3 linked regions of the Drosophila melanogaster genome follow. The protein of the gene in region 1 interacts with the protein of each later gene in a pairwise test. Each region holds a gene or a part of one and is shown in the gene's direction. Other genes may lie near its edges. The genes, in order: Taf3, Taf10 and Taf10b.

Region 1 (9,483 bases):
TTAACAACGAAATTGACCAAAACTAAATATTTAAATTCGTTTCATTGCTTAAAATTGATTTCTGAAAATCGTGTTTTACTCACAGGCAAATGCATTTTATTTTAAATTAAATTTTAAATTAAAAATGTTATGTACGGAACTACAATATAAAATACTATGATTAAAAAACCCAAGATCTATTTGGCAGCTACATATGTGATATAATGCGCAGATCCGGGCCATTCCGGCTTAATACTACCTCAAAACTCGAAAACTAGTTGGCGTAGCACTGATATTGATCAAGAGTATATATCCTTAATATCGCTGATGTTATATGTAAATGTGAAGTTTCTGGTGTTGGTCCTTAACTAATAAATTATGAATTCTTTTAAGAAGTTTTTAATGACCCAGGAAATACGTAAAAATATTATATATGAAATAAATATATAGCCTAAAGGCCTATTTAATTGAAAAAAATTTCTTACCTTTAATTTGCCAATTTCAGTGCGGAGAAGTATAATTTTAGTCTCGCCATTGACTAATGAATCTCTTATGTTATAGATTTCGTTTTGAAGATTTATAAGGGTATCGTCGAAACTGTTTAATGAATTATTTTCTCTAAATGCCCTCGATCGCATACCCAATGATGTTTTTCGAATCTAAAAAGTGTTTGACATACATACATACATATGTGGGTACATACATGCATTCATGTACACATTTGAAAACAATAGGAGATGCATAGGTATCTCGCATGTTTATTTTAAATTTTAATCAATGTGAATAACCGCATCTATTTGAAACTAGGCATACATACATTCAGCTCAAAGAAGCTGGGGTCGGAAAATCCAATTTTTAATATGTATGTACAGACATACATATGTACATAGATCGCGATCCGTTACGTGTTTTTTCCAATATTTACATAACGATAATCATTCGCTTCCACAATTTTCTTGAACTTGGATATGTATATACATGTTCATCATCATCATATAAGTACATATGTGAATTTGTCCGCCGATCCTAAAACATGCGAATTGGCGCCACAACTTACAATTATTACATACATATGTAGAAATTTAGTTTTAATAGGTGGGAACACAAAAAAACAAAATTTTTAAGGGTTGGACAAACGTTTTTAATTCAAAATACTTATTTTAAAGGATGGGAAAACGAAAAAAACTAATTTTAAAGGATGGACAAACGATAAAAACTAAGAATACTGATTGGGCAAAAGTTTTTTTTTATAATATTTAGTTTTAAGAGATGGTCAAAATAATAATACCGAGGTTAACTAGAACGTCTCATATTTTCTAAAGTATTCACTTTTTCAAAATTGAAAAGAGTGGCCAAACGTGGGCAAATAAAGACAACAAATGAGCAAACGATTCCAGCTTTTAAATTTCAAAAATTCCATTTTTTCGACTCCAGCTTCTTTGAGCTCGTACATTATGCGCAAAATGAGAAATCTGCGCACTGAAGTGTATTCGTGTTTTTGCTAGTGGTTGATTGATTTTTTGTGACCGTATGAATATTGAGGGTGCGTCGTCGTTGGAGCAAGCGTCGCAACGGCATGAAACAAACTCTTACAGACTCTGTGACTGAGTCTTAATGCTTAATATCAATATTCTAGTTTTCATTGTTCCCGAGATCACAGCGTTCAGATTGATAGTCAGACGGACTAACCAGTTACTCGATAACTGACCGACTGCATATGAAATCTTCAGTATATGTAAGGAAATACGATACCTATACACCTATTATGGTTAACATAGGTGTAAACGTGTATTCGTTGGGAATCAGATTATCCACCCTTACCTGATTCTTAAGAGTTTCGTCAATGTGAATGGTAGACGTCTTCCGAATCATGTCATGAGAATATTTAAAGTTAACGGGTCCTAAGATCCCGCTCTCTATGAAAAAATGTTTTGCTTTATCAATGCTCGAGTTCAATGGTTGCATTTTTTAGTTCTTATTAGATTAAAAAAGGAGTAAAACGTTGGTCAGATCAATGTTGATGGAGATCTTCTTACTCATTTATACTGAGTATTTCAATAACTAGCTGAAAAGTTTAAAGGATTTGAGCTTTAAGTAGAATAAAACTTTTTATTAGACTTACACATATACCCAACACATGCAAATGTTCATATAGTTGTTTTATTTGTTAATTTTTATATTTTACATTATTACAAATACAAAATATTAAGTGCCGAAGATCTGTCGCACGCTTCTTTGTGTGAATACTCGACTAGAACATATATGGGAAACAATACCTAACCCAATAAATGTCTTAAGATATAAGTTTCTTCTAAACTGATCGAAAATATAACTAGTATTCTATCAGTAGTTTTGTGTCATTATACATTATACCCTCTTTCCACTAAATTACCTGCATATATACACATGTTTGGGATATAGTTCACATGATATTTTTGAAGCGATTTTAGGCTTAATGTTATTTTATTAAATTTATATTTATATATATTATTTATATTTATAATTATATTATTATTTATTCGGTAATTTCATAGCTGTTCTGGGCATTACTTTCTTTCCACAATAAACATAACATTAGATGCTGTTAAAATTTGTAGTAAGTAATCGTAGTAATAATAGTAATAGTAGTAGTAAAACTAAAACATTTTTACGGGTAACAACACAAGACTCTCGTTTCACTCTGCATTCAAGCGCTCTATTATTAAACAAGCTCTAATTATATTTCCATCGTTCAATATCTATTTTAAAGAATAGAAGGATTAGAAAACTTTTTCGTCTTATTTTCAAAATTTGTGTCTTATTCGAACACTAACAGCGAACATACCGAAAGCAAACCTTTTATCTGCCCTTATAACCACTTTCAAACCACATAAAAAATTGCAGTTTGTTTATGTTGGTCAATCAATTGAATTTGATTGAACCCCATGATTACCACTTTTGGCATACCCCAAATATCGATATATTTCCCATCAAAGGCAAAATCGATAAGTTATCGTTAACTAAACATCCACAGATTGTAGTTCGTCTAATAAAGGTGTAGACACCAAGTCAATTAATTTTAATAACAAGAGGAAGTTCGTGGGACGGTTAAACCTATTCACAGCATTTCCAAGGTTTTCTAAAGAAGGTGTACCTCATGAAAGAACATGATGGCAGACAGATACGCTTCAGATTTGGCCCTTGTTGTCGTTGCGCAGATAACGCAAACTATTGGTTACAGCTGCACTCTAAGTGCACCCTTGGAGTTGTTGCAAGACATATTGCAGAAGTTTGTACAGGAGTTCGCTCGAGACATGCATAGACATATGGAACACGGTAAGTGGTATAGACCCTCAAATCAACGGAACCGATCATGAAATACAACAAAGCCTGAGTAGTTATAGTCGTTACTTGTAGAATAAGAGATTCAATAAAAAGTATGTGACATATATGTACATGTACATAAATGTATAACTTATCATCCCTGCAGTTCCATCAGACTATCATTAATAAATCATTATTTATCATTAAAACAATTTTGTTTGGAGTTAGGGCATTTTGCTTTCAGTTGCGTTAGAATACCGGTCAACCTGTCCGTTTAACCTTAAAGTAAAATATATTAGTATAATGTGTACAGAAATGTATTACGAAAAATGTACATCGCTTCTGCGAGTAGTACGTGTTGTTGCGTGTAAAATGAATCCATTGCCATTGGAATTTCCTGATTAAGCTCGCGCCTGCTACTCGCATAAATCTAGTCCCAGTTATCCGCGAAAAAGGAAGCGTGCCTCTTAGAAAAGTAATCTTTTAATTTATTTCTTTCTTTTATTGTTATTTCCCTTTTCCTCGCCCAGTCCCTTTCACCTACATCAGTATATAATTTCTCTAGTTCCGATGCGCATTAAAAATTTAAAGTTTCTTACGAAACTTATGTGCTCGGCGACTTAGAGCGTCAGCTTAGCATTCGGCTGGAAATAAAAGATCCATAATTTATTGCTGATTCCCTGCTTGTGGCTGTGCAGCCAAAGCAGTTGGTACTGTGGGCGAAACCGATGATCTTGGGATGTTTTTAAGGAGCGATGAATTGTGGGACTGCCGGGGTCTCGATTGGGGATTATGAAACCTCAATAGGCATGTAGATTGTATTTTTTGCAAATTATTATTTCATTAATTGTCTTGTAAACACCAAAAAAAAAAAAACAATAAATCTTTGATTTATATATATCTTAGATTAAGATATATCTTAGATTAAGATATATTTTAGATTAAGATATATCTTAGATTAAGATATATCTTCCTTGTAACCACCGGAACAGAAATAAAAATAAATAGTTGAGGAACTCGACTAAAGCGTTCTCTTATATTTTCTTTTTAATTTTGCTTGGTATGTTACTTAATAACGTTATTTATATGAGTTCAAAAAAATCTTATTAAAACCAAACAAAAAATCAAAAATGCTTTGTTTATTTGGATAAAATTTATAAAAATATTAATTGACAAGTATATATATTACTAATTTAGCAAATCGGATAGAGCCGAACCTTAAGGATGCACGCTTAAGTATAAAAAATCTCAGCATCAATGTTCAAGAACTATTGGACTACATAGGTAATGTCGAGCCTGTTGGATTCATCCGGGATGTACCACAGTTTCCCATTGGAAAATCTGTAAACATGAACTTCCTTAAGCCTGGAAGCGCTGAAACTCTAACGCGACCTGTCTACATATTTGAATACTTGCCACCAATGCAGGACCCCGAACTTCGTGAAATTCCAGCCGATGTTCAAAAGGAATTTTCGGAAAAGCAAGAGTTTTGTTCAAAAGCAGAGTATAGTTCAACAAACGCAGCTGATAAGTTAGGCGCCAAGCACATTGATTCTATCTCTCCTAATACTGTGATAAATTTCCGGTCGAATGCCTTTGAATTGGACGTTGGGAGCTCAGTCCGCGAAATGAGCAGCGTGGTAATGACAACAGGGGGATTCATAAGTCCAGCTATTGAAGGCAAGCTCCCCGAAGATATCATACCGGATATAGTTGGTACGACCTATCCTTATACCACAGCTTAATAAATTTTCATGTATCGGTGTTTATAGAAAAATTTTTAGGTTTGGATGCACCCTTTTCACCGACGATAATTGTAAATTCGTTACAAAAATCTCCACAACTGGCGCTTTCTGACAGAGACAAAACAGTAAATCCACGAAAAATCATTCCCTCAGAAACTAAAATCTTCAAACAAAATGCTGCATTATTGACAAGTGGACATTCAGAGTCTTCAATAATATATGCGTCTAACAACCATACGATGCTAACTGTTACAACACCTAAGAAGAATAGAAAACAGAAACATGATTTAATATGCGAACCCGGTCAAAGCGAACTTCTAACTAATCCGTTTGAAAAAGCTCAGGAAAAGTCACAGAGAAAAGCTTTAAAAATGTATAAACAAACCTCAAAGAACCAAAGAGACAGCTCAATTAATCAAATACAAAACATGAAAAAGTTAAAAAAAAAATTTAACCGCGGATCCTTCGATCCAAATAAAAAACATTTAGAAAAAATATTTAAGAAGCAGTCCAAACTTAAGCAAAATGATCTTCAACTGGACATCGACGAAAAACACTTTTTGCAGAATTCTCAAACTACGAGCGGCCTTGCCATAAAAGCTAACTCAAATGAAAATGCTTTACAAGCTGATATCCCTAGTCAGCCGCCAACAGTAACAAGCCAGATTGAAAATAATTTTCGAAATTCAATTTATCCAGTGCAGCCATCTGTAATTCAACAAACGCAAGTGCTATTGGCAGAAAAAAAAAGTGGATCAGAACCAGAACGAAGTAAATTGGACATTTTTAAGAAAATTTCTAAGCCACGTACTCCACGTCCAGATATTGGGGCGACTTTAGTACCTCCTGGAACCGGGGTATCTGTATTTGGAAGCACAATGACCCCTTCAGCATTAATTAGTCTTCCATCGGGGACTACTATAACTCCTACACCTTCACTTGGTCTAAATTCTGAAAACAAAAACGTTCCGAGTATGAAAATCAACCCTTGCAATATATTCGATGGAACTATACCTTTAACTAAAGCAGGCGTTGAAATGTCAATTATTGATTCGCCAAAGCCAAAAAAGCGAGGTCGCAAACCTGGAGGAAAAAATGTAATAAAACAAACAAATGTTGTATCGCAACCTTTAATTAATAAGGTCGAACGGAAAAAGTCAAGCCAAGCTATTACACTGCCTCTATCATCATCTCCAATGATAATAACCCAAAGTTCTTTAAACGTCTCCCCGCCAACAGAACCTCTCAACTTGTGTAATACCGAACAGCCCTCGAATAATTTTTTGTCAAACCTGTATGCAAAAGAAAAAAAGGACAGAAAAAAGTACAAATCATTACCAGAAAATGTAATGCAATTAGACAAGAGCTGTTCTCCTGAAAAGGCATCAACACTACATAATTCTATTCGACCCACAAAACAAAATAATGATGTACAATGTTCAGATAAATTTGTGACTATATCCAATGCTTTGTCAAATGCATCAATTTACCCTGGAATTCAAACAGGAATGGTTCCGTTGCTTCCTTTATTGCAATTTCCACCACGACCTGGTCTTATTCCTACTGGACCTGGGCTTTTTCCTGCAGTCACTGGTTTAGTTGGCTTCGGGAATCACGGTAACAGAATACCTATTTCGCCGTTCATAGATTATCCTGGACCAGAAGAATCAGTTGCGGATACTGTTCGATGTCCACCAATTAAGGATTCTCCTGGTACGTCAAATGAGTTATTTTTATACGCATTGCTCGTAGTATATATACGTAGTATATATTTTCGTGACCAGGATCAATAGCCGAGTGGATCTGATCCTGTCCTGTCCGTCCGTATGAACGTCGAGATCTCATGAACTATAAAAAGCTAGTAGGTTGAGATTAAGCATAAAGATTCTAGAGACATAAACCCAGCTGAAGTTTGTTGACCCAAACTTTACTTTACCATACCAGTTCGAGTATCACAGCTCGAAGAATATATTGCTTACATAAAAGTCTCGGCAATATCTTAATTCATTACAGCAAAAATACTAATCTGAAACTAATCATTGAACCGTTGAATGTAGAAAATAGGTATAGGTACACACTCAAGAAGTGGTATTGGGAAGCTTCTAGATGGGTTAGTATGAAATATTTGCGTTTGTCATAAACTAGATATTTGGAGGAGCTCAAATTTTTTTTTTATATTGACAATACGTACCTACCTACAATATGTGAATTATTTGTCGACCAAAATATTTAAATATTTATAATGATTAGAAAAAATAATTTTTAGTTACTGATTCTGATCAATTTCTGAGCCGATCTTCCACGCAAACTGACTTGCAAATGGATCGAAACTACTGCAATGTTGCTCCATTAGTACCTGACTCAATGAAATTCGCCGAGTGTAAGTTTAACGGTAAATATATTTGTAATTTAAAAATAACTTATTACTTATATCTGTAGGTAAAAGCGTATCTTGTGCCAGCACAATATTGGAAAACCCATCTGCACAGGCTACAAGCAAAATAAACACGAAACCGCTTTTGGAGGCTTCTGGAAATCCTGATGATCCAATAGAGGTTTCAGATGATTCAGATGAATCAATGCACAACAGGCAGATGGTTCAAAGAAAAACCCCAATATCATCACCAACTTATGTTAAAACCAGCTTCGCAGAACTAAATCCCTCCTCGTTTACGTCAGCTGCATCTAATGGTGAAGAAAAATCCAAAATGGATCTAAGGAATATTGTGTCTCTAAGCTCTAACGAACCACTTAAAAAATTTAAAAAACTTGTTAAACAGAGTTTTCCCGATGTAAAAAGCGTACCCCACACGCCAGCTTCACATTCATCATTTCCACAATTTAACTTGCCTAATTTTATGGGAGGTGACAAATTCAGTTTAGCTGGGGGAGCAGATCTTATTCCTCTGTCGAGAGTGAGTGATTCGGAATATTCCTCCAAAATAGTACCATTCAGTAGCTTAGGTGGAACCATACCGAATCAAATCAAAATTTCAGAAGAGCACAATATTTTTTCTACCTTTTCTAACTACGAAGATATTACAATAACACCAACTGGATTAACGTCGTTGGAACCGAAAATGCGGAAACATCACAAAAAGCTAAAAAAGGTTAAAGAAGGGAAAAATAAAAAAAAGAAAGAGAAAAAGGACAAATCAAAGAAAGCGGATCAGATTGGCTTACCATCTTTCAAATCCGACCGGAAAATAAAGGCCAATGATAAAAGGCAAAAAAAAGAAAAGAAAAAGGATAAAGATAAGCAGGTTTGTGTCAATTCTTTATTTATAAAAAAATAGGTGTTCGTGTTGTGGTATTTGGATCAGATATGTAGATACGCCGGAGCTGATAAGCAACCTTTGCGATAAGTACGTACACAAACTCATTTGAAAACAGCAAGTTATGTGGGAAACATTTTTAAAATCATGAATTCTGTGAACATATTCCGTATAATAACATTAAATTATGCATTATGCATTATACATTATACATTATGTTCCAAATTTGTATTAATACTTATATAGACTGTTGTGACTAATTATAACATCGAAGCCTACAGCTTGGTATAGGTACAAAAACATCTTAATCCTACATAAACATGTAAAGCAGCCAAATCTTTTAAAGTTATATTTTTAGTTCTTACAAATTTTATTTTAGTCTATACACATATCTCAGCAAAATCTTTTAAAGTTAAATTTATAGTTTAATCAATTCTTATTTTAGATTTTAGTCCATATACCAGATGACACAGAAGAATTTGACAAGGTGCCTTTAGCTAACAACGATGAACCTGTATTGAAATCAAGTTCCATGACAATAAATCCATCGTTAGGTGCCGCCACAAGTGGAATATCTCCAAATCAAATACCAAAACTAACACTAAAACTTAGTGGAAAATCTACATTATTTTCGTCTTCAGAAAAGGAGATGACAGATGCAGGGAAACTAAAGCAAACCACGATTTTGTCTTCAGAAAATAAGAAGCGTGAACGGGATAATTCTCCGGAGCTTGCTCGTTTTTCTCCATTGGTTACCGGCCCGCCTAAGAACAAACAATGTAGGCGAAGTTATTATTCGATAATTTATATACATTTTAAAATAACTGTTATTCCAGCTGAAACACTGCATTTAGGAAACAGTTCTACGGCCGTGTTGCCTGTACCTTCCCCAGTAGCTGTGCGCGCCGTGCAACTTCCTGTTAGTCAAACCTCATCTAATTCTGCAGGGTGGTTATCAAACCCTAATAACAGTAATACTGCCTCTTCCACGCTTTCGGCTAGTTCAGTTTTGTTACCACAACAATTGATGTTGGCGCCTCATACGATAATGAACAACTTTGTACCAGCAATGTGCAACAGTACAGGAACAGTGTCAAAAAGTGGATTATGTAGTTCTCCACCAAATACATCCGAGGAAAATGCAAATGCAATGCAAATTGCTGAATCAAGTCGTCCATCGT
Region 2 (4,447 bases), on another chromosome or scaffold:
AAGCACCGGCCTCGATCGATTCATGTATATCTTGTTCAGCAAGCGGAAACAGTTCTCCAGAATAGGTATGGCCATTTCGTTACGCCGCTCATCCAGAAACTGGCACGCCCTGGTCAGTTCGTCGTGCTGCAGGAAGCGCAGGAAGTACTCCGAGTCCCGGAGCATCGCCTGGCTTGCCACATACGTGAGGAATGCCTCGAAGGCTGCACTCCGTTCGCCGATCAGCTCGGACTTGAAGTTACCCATCAGGACCTTGGCTGGGAAGTACTTGTTGGCCATCTCCGCCGGATGCTGCCGCTTAAGGCCCAGATAAAGCTCCCGAAAGTCGGTGTATCGGCGCTCAATCTTTGCCGGCTGAGTGTCCTCCGTGGCTCCATCCTGCTTAACAGTGAGCTCATAGACCACGAACCGCTTGATCTTCACATCCTCGCCATCGGGCGGCATTATGTGGGCCAGCAAGATGTCAAAGCGGAGCACGGTGCTCCCATCCGTGGTCGGCTTATACTCAGCACTTGTGGCTCGCTCCCAGACACCTAAGAAGATACAGACAATATTCGCCTTAGAGATTATCCACTGTACCTACATATTTTGCGAGTGTGAGATAATGGTTACACAAACCTTTTTGGAGCGCCTTATCGGATTCGGGAGGGGGAATGTCGAGGGCCGCCGCCTCGATGGCTGGACTGTCCAGCTCATCCGGACCGGGTGGATCCCCATCGAAGGTAGGCTGGTGGTGCAGGCGCTTGGCCATCACGGCGTGAACTGGGGTAAAAGAAAAAACGAAACCAAATGAACGACGAACTGCTAATTGGAGGTTTCACTGTGCTCACTGGGCATACGGGTTCTATGAATCTCTTTGTGATTTCTCGCTGGGCTGCTGTTTTCGATCCGCAGCTGGGCACTTGCAATTCGCTTCTGGTTTACGGCGGATTATGCGGTTGGCATAGTTGTTGAGTCAATTTACAGTGACTAATTCCGCCCCAAACAAAAACATTGCAAGTGGGACGGAGGCCTTTGTTTTGTGCGTGTGAATCCCGCATAGGCGGCCTCTGTAACACCCTACGCGGGTATGGCTCTTAGGGAACATTTAGAATAACTATATTCTAAATTTTTGAATAATATTAAATATTTCTATAAATTGTATAATGATTTAGTAGGCTACAATTTTTATGAGCTCTAATACATATCGTGTACTTTAGCAACAAGTTATTTTTGAATTAACAGACTTTATATAGTAGGGTATGAAGACATTAGTGCTCTGCAGTCTGGCAGCTTTCAAAAATGTATCTTCAAAAGCGGTCCTAATATACCCTTTCTGTAGTTCAGTAGATATTACTTTTAAAGGCTGGATTTGGTTTTTATATACAAATTAAAGCAAAGGATAGGTAATTAGGCAATTAAGTTAAGATTAAAAGATTCCCATTTGTTTGGATAATTCTCGCAGTTTAAATAATTTGTATACTTTTGCGTGACGCACAAGCTAATGTACTCATCTGTGTAGGGTATGTACACTACTAAAACGTACAGTGTGGCAGCCCGAATGGCACTGCAAAAGTCTGGCAACTCTATGCGAGTCTCTGCTTCCTCTTCCCAAGTAAACCAAAACACCCACAGAGCAAAAGAAAAAACAGTAATAATACAAAGACAAGATGACGTTGCCCGAGTTCTTTGGCTGCACCTTCATCGCCTTCGGACCGCCCTTCGCCTTGTTCGTCTTCACCATCGCCAATGATCCAGTGCGGATCATCATTCTGATTGCGGCGGCATTCTTCTGGCTGCTTTCCCTGCTGATCTCTTCCCTGTGGTATGCCCTGATTCCGCTGAAGGAGTTCCTGGCATTTGGCGTGGTCTTCTCGGTGTGCTTCCAGGAAGCCTTCCGGTACATCATCTACCGGATACTGCGCAGCACGGAGCAGGGATTGCACGCCGTGGCGGAGGACACGCGAGTGACGGACAACAAGCACATCCTGGCCTATGTCTCCGGCTTGGGATTCGGCATTATATCCGGGATGTTTGCACTGGTCAATGTGCTGGCTGATATGGTGAGTGCAGCAAAGGTGCGTAATGTGCTCCGAGCAATGACAGATCTTTTGGTTTTTAGAGTGGTCCCGGCACCATGGGCTTGAAGGGCGGAACTGAGCTATTCTTCGTCACCTCGGCTGCCCAGGCGTTGTCGATTATCCTGCTGCACACCTTCTGGAGCGTTATTTTCTTCAACGCATTCGACACAAACAACTATATCCACATAGGCTATGTGGTTTTCAGCCACCTGTTCGTCTCCCTGATAACTCTGCTCAATGCCAATGAGCTTTACACGACCACTCTGCTGATAAACTACTTGGTCACCATACTTACGGGAGTCCTGGCCTTCCGGGTGGCTGGAGGAACATCTCGCAGTTTCAGAAAATTCATAACATGCCAGTAAACATACTCCTAGTATTAACCGCCTAGTTAATAGCTTTTGTATAACATTATAAAAAAAAACAAATTACCTTGTATATGCTCGATTAGTTACGCATTCTATGGACTTAAATCCCTTTACTAAATGGATTTCTTGAAAGAATGAGAATGCATTAAGATCCCAAGGTCTTTCGCAATAAATTCCCAAAACACAGATCTTAAGATACATTATTTTTAATGAGAAAAAAACTACTACAATGCATGCCATTATCTACTGACTATAGTCCACTTTCCTAACATTAATACCGTAGTCGGCCAAAGCCGGCTGCAGATCCTCCATGGTCAAGGTGAACTTGCGGTCCTTGGCCTTCGATCCTCCCGGTGTATTGGTGGTTTGCATATGGGTGCGCGCCTTGGAGTGCTGCAGTGCATCGTCGATGATGTCGGACATGTACTTCTGGGCGGCTAGGCTGATCAGCCGAACGATGCGCTTGTCGTCCGACTGAAAGCCTCCCATGTTGAGATAGTGCGAGGTGACCGCATCCGGAATCAATGGAGTATAATCTTCCAGCTGCGACATGAAGTCGCTGAGATGCGAAGATGGTGTGGTCCTATCCCGATCTCCACCGCCACCTCCTCCCGAGGATTGTCCATGACTGCTTGCGCCACCGGCGCTGTTGTGGTAAATAATTCCGAAATTGGAGCCCACCATCGAAAAAAGTGTACAATACAAATTAAACACAGTGCAGACGTAGTGATGGGAGATGCTAGTTATCGAATTATTCCGTATTGTTGCTGCCAGTGCTATCGATTCTTCTTACGGTTCGTCATCGATTACAATATAAACATACACACATATACACGCCAGCTGAGATAACAAATTTCTGGAAATAAACAATTAAAAAGTGGAAAACAATGGCTTCCGATGGCGAGGACATCAGTGTTACACCCGCAGAATCCGTAACATCGGCCACGGACACCGAGGAGGAGGATATAGACTCGCCACTAATGCAGTCCGAACTGCATTCCGACGAGGAGCAACCGGACGTGGAGGAGGTTCCTCTGACGACGGAGGAATCGGAGATGGATGAGCTGATAAAGCAGCTGGAGGACTACTCGCCCACCATACCAGACGCCCTCACCATGCACATCTTGAAAACGGTAGCTATATACCGGAAACTATTCTTTGTAGCATTTCTAATATTGGATTAAATCTGCAGGCTGGCTTCTGCACAGTGGACCCCAAGATAGTGCGCCTCGTCTCGGTGTCCGCGCAGAAGTTCATCTCGGATATTGCCAACGACGCACTGCAGCACTGCAAGACGCGCACCACGAACATCCAGCATTCCAGCGGACACAGTTCCAGCAAGGACAAGAAAAACCCCAAGGACAGGAAGTACACGCTGGCCATGGAGGACCTGGTGCCGGCACTCGCGGACCACGGCATCACCATGCGCAAGCCGCAGTATTTCGTTTAGATTTAGTTAAGCTCTAAAGTTTTGAATTGGGCACACAAATATAGCTAGTTTTCTTCAAGTTGTAAAAACATTTTAGCGAGGCACTTTCTTTATTAGACAAACTAGAAATTTGGAGCTACGATGTTAAAGAATTTGTTAGCCAACTCAATGCCGAAGAAGCAGGCAGCGTTGGCTGGGAAGGCTCGGAGCATGATGGGCGTCACGCCGCGGTACAAGGCCAGAGGTCCATCCTTGACAATCAGATCCTTGAAGACACTGCGTATGCCGTGCTTGTAGGTGCCTTCGGGAGCCGATTGTAGGCGGCTCTTTAACACGTCGGCTGGCATGCCCAGAATCCAGTAGGCCATGCCCGCCACTCCACCTGCGAAAATCGTTGAGGCAGTACTGATTTGTCCCGTCTCTGACTTCGACTTGGCCACATCCTGCAGCGCCTCGTAGACCAGGAAGTACAGCCCGTTGGCGGGCAAATCCCTGAGCATTGTGGCGCAGCTGCCCTTGAAAACGCTGCGAAGTCCACCCTCCTTGTATAGCTTGCCGGCGCAGTCGATCATGCCGTTGTACTTGCGCTC
Region 3 (4,213 bases), on another chromosome or scaffold:
CCTAAACCGCGTCATCGAGTTCAAGGAGCAATTTCCACTGTTAAGTTTCCGCCACTTGTGACCTTTTATTTTTTAGTTTCCCATCAATTTTTTTAATAAAATTTATGGAAAAATGAAGTAGCACTACGTTTTTCTAACGAAGCTTTCTTTAGGAATTATGGACATGGCGAATTTAAAGTAACTTGTTTTAGCATTTCACATAGTTTATTTCAAAAATTCTCTGTGGTGTAAATGATCTTGGATCTGGTAGCTGCACCATCGGCTGCTTCTTATCCTGGTGGCCACTGCATCTGGCGGCCGCCGAGGAAGTGCAAATGCAAGTGGTAAACTGACTGGGCGCCGTGCTTGCCATTGTTGATGACCACGCGGTAGCCATCCGCGAGGCCGAGCTCCTTGGCCACCTTGCGGCCCACCAGCATGAGATGTCCCAGCAGATCGGCATCTCCATCCTCGGCTAGCGAGAGTTGGGCAATTGGCTTGCGAGGAATCACGAGGAAGTGGGTTGGTGCCTGGGGCGCCACATCGTGGAAGGCAACGCACTGTGAAAGATTCGATAGGTAACATCTTTTTCTAGCAACCAAATGGACTGCGATCTCACTTTATCATCCTCGTGGATAAATTTGCATGGGATCTCCTTGCGCAAAATCTTGCCGAAAATGGTGTCTTCACTGGCGGCTGCCGTTTGCGATTTTTCCACTTCGCTTGCCATTCTAGCACTGCAGCTTGCTATTTGGCGAGAGCTGCAGCGTAAATACAGTATATAATCGCGGCACTTTAGATAATTAAGCCAATTTCGCACGAACTCACCTGAAAACACGAAAGAAATTCCGGCCGGTTGACAAGAACATCGAAATAGCGCTGCCAACTTGGTTTTCAGACAATTCACACAGAGCGGCAAATTTAGGGTATTCGAATGCTCTCACACCTGCGTCGCTATAATGTTATTTATTATTTAAAAAAAACATCAACAAATTATTACAGGGAAATGCAAAAGTATTTAGTGCCATAGATCGCTTTAATTAATTAGGGCTGTAGGGCTAGTGAAAATTCAATTCAAAGGAGGTGCACATAGGTGGACTTTGAACCCTGCTGCAACATATGGAAATCATAGAGATCTTCAAACCAGAAAAACTACTCTTTTGATCGCAAGATCAAGTTGCTCCGTGGCAATATTTTTGTGATATCAGTGCAGTCCAGTATCTTTATCTGGAGAATCACTGCATCTGTGGGAACATCAACAGCTTGTGACGTAATGTTGCCGCGCTCCTTATCGCTATAGAATGCTCAAGATTAGTTCGAAACTATCGGCTAGGTGCAAATTCCAATAATCCACTTGACTTGCCAGAAAACAGCAACACTAGTTCCGAAATCGAGCAGCTGCCGGCCGTTAAGGTGAAGGTGAAGGAGGAGCAGAGCAATAGCAACCTGTAGCCATGACCACCACGGAGAACGTGTCCACGGAGCGCAAAGCGAATCCAGTGAAGTCCTTCCTGACCGGCGGATTCGGTGGGATCTGCAATGTGCTCTCTGGCCATCCGCTGGACACCATCAAGGTGCGCCTGCAGACCATGCCGCGTCCGGCGCCGGGTGAGCAGCCCCTGTACCGCGGCACCTTCGACTGTGCGGCCAAGACGATCAAAAATGAGGGCGTCCGCGGTCTGTACAAGGGCATGTCCGCACCGTTGACGGGCGTTGCTCCGATCTTTGCGATGTGCTTCGCCGGCTATGCGCTGGGCAAGCGGCTGCAGCAGCGCGGCGAGGACGCCAAGCTGACCTACCCGCAAATCTTCGTGGCCGGCTCCTTCTCCGGCCTGTTCTCCACCCTGATAATGGCACCCGGCGAGCGCATCAAGGTGCTCCTGCAGACGCAGCAGGGTCAGGGTGGCGAGCGCAAGTACAACGGCATGATCGACTGCGCCGGCAAGCTATACAAGGAGGGTGGACTTCGCAGCGTTTTCAAGGGCAGCTGCGCCACAATGCTCAGGGATTTGCCCGCCAACGGGCTGTACTTCCTGGTCTACGAGGCGCTGCAGGATGTGGCCAAGTCGAAGTCAGAGACGGGACAAATCAGTACTGCCTCAACGATTTTCGCAGGTGGAGTGGCGGGCATGGCCTACTGGATTCTGGGCATGCCAGCCGACGTGTTAAAGAGCCGCCTACAATCGGCTCCCGAAGGCACCTACAAGCACGGCATACGCAGTGTCTTCAAGGATCTGATTGTCAAGGATGGACCTCTGGCCTTGTACCGCGGCGTGACGCCCATCATGCTCCGAGCCTTCCCAGCCAACGCTGCCTGCTTCTTCGGCATTGAGTTGGCTAACAAATTCTTTAACATCGTAGCTCCAAATTTCTAGTTTGTCTAATAAAGAAAGTGCCTCGCTAAAATGTTTTTACAACTTGAAGAAAACTAGCTATATTTGTGTGCCCAATTCAAAACTTTAGAGCTTAACTAAATCTAAACGAAATACTGCGGCTTGCGCATGGTGATGCCGTGGTCCGCGAGTGCCGGCACCAGGTCCTCCATGGCCAGCGTGTACTTCCTGTCCTTGGGGTTTTTCTTGTCCTTGCTGGAACTGTGTCCGCTGGAATGCTGGATGTTCGTGGTGCGCGTCTTGCAGTGCTGCAGTGCGTCGTTGGCAATATCCGAGATGAACTTCTGCGCGGACACCGAGACGAGGCGCACTATCTTGGGGTCCACTGTGCAGAAGCCAGCCTGCAGATTTAATCCAATATTAGAAATGCTACAAAGAATAGTTTCCGGTATATAGCTACCGTTTTCAAGATGTGCATGGTGAGGGCGTCTGGTATGGTGGGCGAGTAGTCCTCCAGCTGCTTTATCAGCTCATCCATCTCCGATTCCTCCGTCGTCAGAGGAACCTCCTCCACGTCCGGTTGCTCCTCGTCGGAATGCAGTTCGGACTGCATTAGTGGCGAGTCTATATCCTCCTCCTCGGTGTCCGTGGCCGATGTTACGGATTCTGCGGGTGTAACACTGATGTCCTCGCCATCGGAAGCCATTGTTTTCCACTTTTTAATTGTTTATTTCCAGAAATTTGTTATCTCAGCTGGCGTGTATATGTGTGTATGTTTATATTGTAATCGATGACGAACCGTAAGAAGAATCGATAGCACTGGCAGCAACAATACGGAATAATTCGATAACTAGCATCTCCCATCACTACGTCTGCACTGTGTTTAATTTGTATTGTACACTTTTTTCGATGGTGGGCTCCAATTTCGGAATTATTTACCACAACAGCGCCGGTGGCGCAAGCAGTCATGGACAATCCTCGGGAGGAGGTGGCGGTGGAGATCGGGATAGGACCACACCATCTTCGCATCTCAGCGACTTCATGTCGCAGCTGGAAGATTATACTCCATTGATTCCGGATGCGGTCACCTCGCACTATCTCAACATGGGAGGCTTTCAGTCGGACGACAAGCGCATCGTTCGGCTGATCAGCCTAGCCGCCCAGAAGTACATGTCCGACATCATCGACGATGCACTGCAGCACTCCAAGGCGCGCACCCATATGCAAACCACCAATACACCGGGAGGATCGAAGGCCAAGGACCGCAAGTTCACCTTGACCATGGAGGATCTGCAGCCGGCTTTGGCCGACTACGGTATTAATGTTAGGAAAGTGGACTATAGTCAGTAGATAATGGCATGCATTGTAGTAGTTTTTTTCTCATTAAAAATAATGTATCTTAAGATCTGTGTTTTGGGAATTTATTGCGAAAGACCTTGGGATCTTAATGCATTCTCATTCTTTCAAGAAATCCATTTAGTAAAGGGATTTAAGTCCATAGAATGCGTAACTAATCGAGCATATACAAGGTAATTTGTTTTTTTTTATAATGTTATACAAAAGCTATTAACTAGGCGGTTAATACTAGGAGTATGTTTACTGGCATGTTATGAATTTTCTGAAACTGCGAGATGTTCCTCCAGCCACCCGGAAGGCCAGGACTCCCGTAAGTATGGTGACCAAGTAGTTTATCAGCAGAGTGGTCGTGTAAAGCTCATTGGCATTGAGCAGAGTTATCAGGGAGACGAACAGGTGGCTGAAAACCACATAGCCTATGTGGATATAGTTGTTTGTGTCGAATGCGTTGAAGAAAATAACGCTCCAGAAGGTGTGCAGCAGGATAATCGACAACGCCTGGGCAGCCGAGGTGACGAAGAATAGCTCAGTTCCGCCCTTCAAGC

The links.
Region 2: the proteins of Taf3 (region 1) and Taf10 interact in a two-hybrid assay, tested with the Drosophila melanogaster proteins (one study listed by BioGRID).
Region 3: the proteins of Taf3 (region 1) and Taf10b interact in a two-hybrid assay, tested with the Drosophila melanogaster proteins (one study listed by BioGRID).

The regions. Positions count from the first base shown.
Region 1 is NC_004353.4:460,312-469,794, reverse strand, and holds the start of Taf3 (TBP-associated factor 3), read left to right. Parts: upstream 1-2,966; 5' UTR 2,967-3,125; coding exon 3,126-3,294; intron 3,295-4,479; coding exon 4,480-4,998; intron 4,999-5,054; coding exon 5,055-6,740; intron 6,741-7,293; coding exon 7,294-7,407; intron 7,408-7,466; coding exon 7,467-8,290; intron 8,291-8,381; exon of another isoform or gene 8,382-8,747; coding exon 8,748-9,081; exon of another isoform or gene 9,082-9,138; coding exon 9,139-9,483. Other genes in the region: CG33941 (uncharacterized protein), read right to left, coding at 465-638, 1,801-1,944.
Region 2 is NT_033779.5:2,764,666-2,769,112, forward strand, and holds Taf10 (TBP-associated factor 10), read left to right. Parts: upstream 1-3,224; 5' UTR 3,225-3,315; coding exon 3,316-3,561; intron 3,562-3,620; coding exon 3,621-3,878; 3' UTR 3,879-3,947; downstream 3,948-4,447. Other genes in the region: Snx21 (sorting nexin 21), read right to left, coding at 1-533, 619-762, 831-837; aph-1 (anterior pharynx defective 1), read left to right, coding at 1,650-2,042, 2,102-2,425; Taf10b (TBP-associated factor 10b), read right to left, coding at 2,672-3,112; colt (congested-like trachea), read right to left, coding at 3,980-4,447. UniProt on the Drosophila melanogaster protein: TFIID is a multimeric protein complex that plays a central role in mediating promoter responses to various activators and repressors.
Region 3 is NT_033779.5:2,766,786-2,770,998, reverse strand, and holds Taf10b (TBP-associated factor 10b), read left to right. Parts: upstream 1-3,153; 5' UTR 3,154-3,221; coding exon 3,222-3,662; 3' UTR 3,663-3,713; downstream 3,714-4,213. Other genes in the region: CG15399 (uncharacterized protein), read left to right, coding at 1-61; HINT1 (histidine triad nucleotide binding protein 1), read right to left, coding at 270-539, 599-740, 808-848; colt (congested-like trachea), read left to right, coding at 1,434-2,354; Taf10 (TBP-associated factor 10), read right to left, coding at 2,456-2,713, 2,773-3,018; aph-1 (anterior pharynx defective 1), read right to left, coding at 3,909-4,213. UniProt on the Drosophila melanogaster protein: TFIID is a multimeric protein complex that plays a central role in mediating promoter responses to various activators and repressors.